Xenopus tropicalis: one gene and its partner. The protein of the gene in region 2 purifies or fractionates together with the protein of the main gene of each other region. This does not show direct contact. Links are inferred from orthologs where the notes say so. Each region holds a gene or a part of one and is shown on either strand. Other genes may lie near its edges.

The links. The genes of interacting proteins can lie anywhere in the genome.
Region 1: the proteins of mapk7 (region 2) and pfdn1 purify together in Homo sapiens (affinity purification with mass spectrometry; 3 studies listed by BioGRID and IntAct, with this or other methods). This does not show direct contact. The link is inferred for Xenopus tropicalis from reciprocal best matches to the Homo sapiens genes MAPK7 and PFDN1.

The regions. Positions count from the first base shown.
Region 1 is NC_030679.2:31,788,358-31,792,110, reverse strand, and holds the start of pfdn1 (prefoldin subunit 1), read right to left. Parts: upstream 2,613-3,753; 5' UTR 2,516-2,612; coding exon 2,483-2,515; intron 1,254-2,482; coding exon 1,087-1,253; intron 1-1,086. UniProt on the Homo sapiens protein: Binds specifically to cytosolic chaperonin (c-CPN) and transfers target proteins to it. Binds to nascent polypeptide chain and promotes folding in an environment in which there are many competing pathways for nonnative proteins.
Region 2 is NC_030685.2:7,130,146-7,133,898, forward strand, and holds the start of mapk7 (mitogen-activated protein kinase 7), read right to left. Parts: upstream 2,369-3,753; 5' UTR 2,163-2,368; intron 1,830-2,162; exon of another isoform or gene 1,587-1,829; intron 1,314-1,586; exon of another isoform or gene 1,056-1,313; intron 1-1,055. UniProt on the Homo sapiens protein: Plays a role in various cellular processes such as proliferation, differentiation and cell survival. The upstream activator of MAPK7 is the MAPK kinase MAP2K5.

The DNA.
Region 1 (3,753 bases), on a different chromosome or scaffold from region 2:
TCCCAGTCAACTGGGGCCCGAAGTAAGGGGAAACAGACAAACAAAAGAGTTCTGTGCCCTAGGCTGGTGCTTGACTTAAATCTGCCTATGTATGGCCTATTCCAATGAAGTTGCTGTTCAGAACCCTCTGTAGAGGGCTATTGCACAAGTGCATTCAAGCGCATTCAACTAAATTTTAATATATATGGACTTCCCAGCTGCAGATAAGCATGTTCCCTGAGATCAATGGATTACCTAAACTATAAAGTTCCACTTATACTAGTGACTATAACGCCCTCCTAAATGTAGACTTTCTGTTCTAAAGGCATACGGAACATTTAAAGCATCTGAAATACTAATGCATTTTTTTTGGCCTTTAATGCTTTCCACCTTTAGAAATGTGTTAATATTGAATCATTCGCCTATGAATAAGTACTTTCTATTCTCCACAGCAATGGTTATGTAAGAAAACCAAAAAGTTCTTGGTTTTTAACAATAGCCAGTCTATAAATACAGTCATTGGCACAGTCAAATGGGGATTACATAGGAACACAGTTAACGATTTTCAGTATGTGCGTGGCAGCCTATATCCATGTACTTTGATTGGTTTGTCATTTGGGTGGGTATAAATATGTAACCTGCTAAGAACCCATTACAGCCTGTGTATGGAAGATGAGGAACTGTTCCCTTCATTCCCTATGAATACAAGGAACAACAGAAAGGCATCCATAGAGTATATGGTCCCTTGTATTTTTTCTGTCTTTTGGCCCTCGAAGGGATCGGTAGGTCTGTGCAGTGTCTGACTGGCCCACCAGGATACAAGGAAAACTCCCGGTGGCCCAAGTGTCAGTGGGCCCTCCTGCTCACCCAACCATTTGCCTTGTATGCGTATACCATGGCCATTACTCAATCCTATATGAAAAGAAACTGAAGAAATGGAGGAAAGGATAGATAATATTATGTAAAACTGCGTAATTAAGAGATTAAAGAAATTGAGTGAACAGAGAAGGGGAGAGTGGGCCGAAGGTCTACTTTTCTTTACAATTTACACTTAAAAAGACAAGTTAATGCATGACTGTATGATTAAAGCAAAACAGCATTACTTACATTCTTCCTACTCCTTCATACATAGGCGTTGAATCAGACAGGTTCATAATTTCTGCATTGGTAAGATATGCATGCTTCTTTGTTCTATTTAGCTGCTCAATTTGTAGATCTGCAAGTTTAACTTTCTGCTGGGTATCAATAACTTTGGCTTGAAGCTCTGTGAAAGCCTGCAATACAAAACATGGTTTTAAACAATTTGTATCTAAGTGCTGTCCTCGCTAATGCTTTCTAGCCACTGCCAATCTCTACATCTGAGTTTCACCCAAGATTGTGTAAGCAGGTAATATTTTTAATATTTTAGAAACTATCCAGTTTTTAAACTACTCTGCTTGTAAAAGTGCATCCTTTGCAAATGTCAGTCAAGCAGTCTCACATTACTCATAAACAGGCTGATATGTTGTCAACTTGGTCTGAATGGGCCCCTGTATGGCCCACTTGAGGGCCTATTTTTCTAAAAACCCAGCGAGAAGCTCAGTTAGAGAGAAATTTGGTGTGAAAATGGGTATTCCGGGAGCCCTTCCTGAATAGCTGATACAACATTTCCATACACCTTGTTATGAACTAACTGGGCTCCAAGGTGGGCTTGAACTGAAAAAGTCTGTCAAGCAAACCACAGATGTAGGACACAGGGGCATGTTTAGTAAGATTGGAGATAAATATCACTGGCTATGTTGCCCATAGCAACCAATCAGGAATTAGATTTGAACAGTCACCTACAAGTTAGAAATGAAAATCAAATATCTGATTGGTTGCTATGGGCAACATCACCAGTGATATTTATCTCCAATCTTACTAAACACTTAAGCCCCCAAATTTTAGGTGTAAGCAAAGATTTAACAGCAATGTTTTTGCGTTCTAAAGACTGTTTTAATTGCAAATAAACAATGCACTGGGAGATAGTGCCTTCCAAAAGGATGAATCTTACATTAATAGTAAATATACTTTATTAAATTTCCCTTCTTTATGTATTTGGAAAAAAACAAGTGTTCGTTTATAGAACTATGGGTTTATAGAGTGTGAGTATGTATGTATGTATGTATGTGTGTGTATGTATATGTATATGTATATGTATATATATGTATATATATATATATATATATATATATATATATATATATATATATATATATATATATATATATACACACACACAAATCAAATGATATCAAAATTCTTTACTACAAATACAGTTCCCTACTAGAAATACAAAAACGACTACATTCGCATTCCACCGAGCGTATGCACTAGCTGCCTGGCCGCACTCCAGCCAAAAGCACATTCATCCTGCAGGCACCGTGAATTCACCAGCATCTGAATTCTTATATAAACATACACTTACATGAAAACACGTACATGATAAAAATCATTAGTATAAATGAAATACAATTATTATTACCTTCTTCAGCTCTAGATCCACAGGGGTAGCCATATTAAAGCCGGGCACATGCGCAACGCGGCGGCGAGGAAACCATACGCTATACCGCCGTCATCGCAAGCAGCCTTGTGATTGGCTCTTGGTGCTTTACTGGCAATTCCAATTGGCAGCTGCTAAGGTGAAGCTGGGCGCATTGGTGGGCGTTCTTGGGAAACGCCCAGCGTATAGTTGCTGGAGGATTGGTTGAGTTGTGGCTTAGCAGCGAGAGCTCTTACTGTTTAAAGATATTTGAGCCATGGTTGCTAGTAGTTTGTTTTGCCACAGAAGTTATGTTTTGTGTAGAGTGAACCAAGGGTGTAACGTGTGATGTAACATATAAACAAATATGTGTGCGTGATTTACACACAACGTGTTAAACCGGCAGTGACACAGTGGCTGGGGAGTTATATGTAGAAATATATGGGGAAGGGTTGTAATTCGATTCGCACCCAATAGGATTGTTATGAGTTTCTAGACTGTTTATCCCATATGTTTCTGGAATCTTGAATTAGACTGTATTTTGTAAGCAGTTACAAACGCCATAAATTGAAATCATGGCTGAAAATGGGGCAACGTTAAAGAAATATTTCTTATTTTGGGAGATAGTTCTAAAAGCCCAGCCTGAAGGTGATCTTGCTCAGACAAGATCCCCTGTGCATGATTTAGCTCATGGGTGCATGGGCCATATTTATGTAGGGCAGCGCTAGGGGTGCCTATATTAAAAAGAAAAAAAGTGTAGCTGTATACGAGGGGGGCGAGGTCAGAAGTCTGGTGCTTACGGCTGCACTGGACAGCCCTAGCAGCTGGTAAAACACTAAAGATGACCACTGAATGGACTAACACAGGAATCACTTGTCAGTGCACTTGGGGGTTGACACCTGTCTAGTTTTGAACTAAACAGCCACTTTTTCCCTAGGGCCATAAACATAATTGGCACCCATGTAGGCCTCATCAACATGCCAGTGGGATTTTTAGGGCACTGCCACACAGCAGATTCTCGGCCTGCAAGTTAACTGCAGAATCTGCCCCATACAGCAGTGCCCTTAAACCAATTTCTTCTTGGCAGGGTACACAAATAATTTCTTTTGTGCACACTTTTTAACAAAGAAGTAGGGCTGAAATTTTGTGAATTATGTTATGGGTTTCTGTACCAGCCCAAGGCACAAACAGCCCTTTTGCAGGGAAGATCTGTGCCCCCAAAGATGCCCTCCAGTAGCCCCCCCCCCATCTTCTTTTCTGCTGATTCCCTGCAC
Region 2 (3,753 bases):
TGGTTCAGCCCAGTATTGCCCCCTCAGCCTGGCATTACATGGTTCAGCCCAGTATTGCCCCCTCAGCCTGGCATTACATGGTTCAGCCCAGTATTACCCCCTCAGCCTGGCATTAGATGGTTCAGCCCAGTATTCCCCCAGCCTGGCATTAGATGATTCAGCCCAGTATTACCCCCTCAGCCTGGCATTAGATGGTTCAGCCCAGTATTAACCCCTCAGCCTGGCATTAGATGGTTCAGCCCAGTATTCCCCCAGCCTGGCATTAGATGATTCAGCCCAGTATTACCCCCTCAGCCTGGCATTAGATGGTTCAGCCCAGTATTCCCCCCTCAGCCTGGCATTAGATGGTTCAGCCCAGTATTACCCCAGCCTGGCATTAGATGGTTCAGCCCAGTATTACCCCCTCAGCCTGGCATTAGATGGTTCAGCCCAGTATTCCCCCCCTCAGCCTGGCATTACATGGTTCAGCCCAGTATTCCCCCCTCAGCCTGGCATTAGATGGTTCAGCCCAGTATTCCCCCCTCAGCCTGGCATTAGATGGTTCAGCCCAGTATTGCCCCCTCAGCCTGGCATTACATGGTTCAGCCCAGTATTCCCCCCTCAGCCTGGCATTACATGGTTCAGCCCAGTATTCCCCCCTCAGCCTGGCATTACATGGTTCAGCCCAGTATTGCCCCAGCCCCAGTCTGGCATTAGATGGTTCAGCCCAGTATTACCCCCCCAGCCTGGCATTAGATGGTTCAGCCCAGTATTCCCCCAGCCTGGCATTAGATGGTTCAGCCCAGTATTACCCCCCCAGCCTGGCATTAGATGGTTCAGCCCAGTATTCCCCCAGCCTGGCATTAGATGGTTCAGCCCAGTATTACCCCCTCAGCCTGGCATTAGATGGTTCAGCCCAGTATTCCCCCAGCCCCAGGTTATGATGGGACCCGCCCAGCCCACAGACAGGCCAGACAGCTCCAGTGTTCAGCCCGCAGCCCTGCCAGGCACAGTGCCCCCGGATAATCGCCCAACCCGGAAGTAGGTGACACACCGGCCCCTTTAAGGCTGGTTACCTGGTTCCTGTCCCGCTGCGGGGTCCCCGGATGTAATACGGGTCTCAGGAGTAGGGAAGGTGCAGCCCAATCCTGCGCTGCCTGGGAGCGGAGCGGCCAGCCAATAGGAACGGGGCGGGATAACTGCTGCGAACTGAGGCGGGCCGACGCCAGTGTCCTCTGTTGCCTAGCAACAGGAGATTACGTTCAGTAACCCATAGAGGAAGTACAGAGAGGGCTAGTGATTTAACCCCGCCCCTGTGTAATTCCCCTCACTGCTTACTCTCACAAGAGAGATGGGCGCTGTTGGCCCGGGGCGATGAAATACTGATCAGAAGCGGGACCGGACGCCTAGCGCAAAGTTACGTAAATTGCGTGAAGACGCATTAAACAGCAACGGTGAAATATACGCCAATTGCCTGGAAGCTTGCGTAACTTGCGTTGGAAGCGGTGACGGCGGAGCGTAAGGCACAAAGTGGGAGGGGCAAAGCCCGCTGTTCCTCAGTGACTAATTAGCGCATTCATTAAAGTACAAGTTTCTCATGGAATCACCTCATCCCCATTCCCTCGGCGCTCCGGGGAAGCCCTCACATCACTATGGGGCCCTCACATACCCAGTGTGACAGGAATGCCCGGCACTAGCCTTCCCAGCAGGTCACATGATAGCCATCTGGCCAATGGGTGAGTGAGGTCCCTGTGCCCTTACTCTGCCCATTTGTTACACTGGCTGTGGGTAAATATGGATAAATCACGTACAGCTGCAGCCCCGCCCTCACTCCGCTTTAACCAAATCACTTAAGGCTTTACGTACTATCCGGGGGCCTCACGTACTATCCGGGGGCCCCGCACCAATCACATTGAGGCTATTAGGAAGGCTACAATAATGATGCCACAGTATTATATCACCCTGACTCCTTCCCTGGGTGCCACTCCCCGGGGGGCTCCCTCCTCCCCTACCCATTCCTCCCCCTTTTCCCATTTCCCAGCAGCCCAGCGCCCCCTTCCCTGCCCCTCCCACTGCAGCTCCTCCCTTCCCCGCCCCTCCCACTGCAGCTCCTCCCTTCCCCGCCCCTCCCACTGCAGCTCCTCCCATCCCCGGACAGGTAACCCTCTCACTGCCGGACGCACCGCCGAAGCCAATGCAGTTTCCCGCCCTTTGTCAGCCTCGTCCCCTTTAAATCCGAGCTGAATGCCTCAGTGCGGCTCGCTGATTGGCTGTCACCTCAGAGGCCCAGAGCAATGCTGTATCCTGTGCTGGGAGTATCAGTAGATAAAGGGCCTGAGTGCTGCAGTTCAGCAGCAGAGATTTCCCAGCCCCCTCCCGTCTAACTGCTGCCCCCTCCTCTCCCTTCCCTGCTCCCTCCCCCTCGCCATTCCCCTCCCTCCTATCCCCCCCCCTGGCCATTCTTTCTCTCCCTTCCGCCCCTTTTCTTTCTGTCATCCCCCCTTCCTCCCCCCTCTCATTCACATCGTTCCCCCTGCCCCCCCCTCCTCCTCTTCCTCGGCTCCCTCCCCCATTCTCCTGTGTTCTCCCTCCCCCACTCCTCATGCAGCTTGGAGAGACAGACGCATGAGAGAGACAGGCAGGGAGGAGAGAGGGAAATAGAGACAGCCAGGAAGTGGCAGAAGGGGCAAGAGACAGCCAGGGGAACAATAGAGAGACTGCACAGCTCCAAGGCCTGGCCTGGATGCCTGGGGTGTAAGAGACATTCAGGGAGTGGAGAGGAAAAAGGGTGTGGGCAGGGGAAGCCATTCACTGAGGTCAAAGAGACAGTAAGAGACAGCCTGAGGTCACATACATTACCCATAGGCAGGAAGAGACAGCTTGGGGTTGGTGAGAAGGATCAGTGACCAATCAGATTTAAAGAGACAGCCTAGGGTTAGACTGAGCTAAACAGGCAAAAAAAGAGACTGCTCTGGAGTAGAAATATTGGTCAGGAAGAGACAGTTGGCACATTTGGGGTAAATAGGAAAGAAAGATCAGGTGAAAAAGTGACCGCCTTGTAGCGGGAATGAACAATAGGAACTAGGAGACAGTTTGGGGGTCAGAGAGAGGTTTGGGCGTCGGGCGAGGCGGGCACAGAAGTGGCACAAACAGGTGAGGTTAGTGAGAGGTTCCACACACAGGCACAGCGCCACAGGCGTGGTTTATGGGTAAGGGCCCAGGGCTGTGACTGAGGCAAGCGAGACAGCAGTTGGCATCTGATTGGCACTAACAGGCGAGACAGACAGGTGCCCGCCATGGCCTCTAGCCCAGTCCCACTGCCCCTGCTGCCCTCTCTCAGCTGCATTCTGTGCCACGATGTGCCCCGGGAGCCGGTCACCCTAAGCTGCGGCCACTGCCTGTGCCGGGGATGCTTGGAGCGGGCATGGAGGGGGCAAGAGGCCTACCCTACCTGCCCCAAGTGCCGGCCCCCTTCTGTGCCCACCCCCGACGGAGTGCAGCGGGGCGCCTGTGCGGAACACGGGGAGAAGCTGCATTTATTCTCCACCCAGGATGGGAGGCTGATGTGCCCCTCCTGCAGGGATGGCACCGAACAGCACCCCCCTCATACGCTCGTGCCCCTACAGGAGGCAGTGGGGGGCTACAAGGTATGTAACTAAACATAGAGCTATGGGGTCATATACTGCCCTCAGTTACCCTACTCACACTCCACTAACCTCCTTTATTTGCCCCCCAGGATGAACTCATCTCAGCACTCGCCCCGCTGGAGGCCCG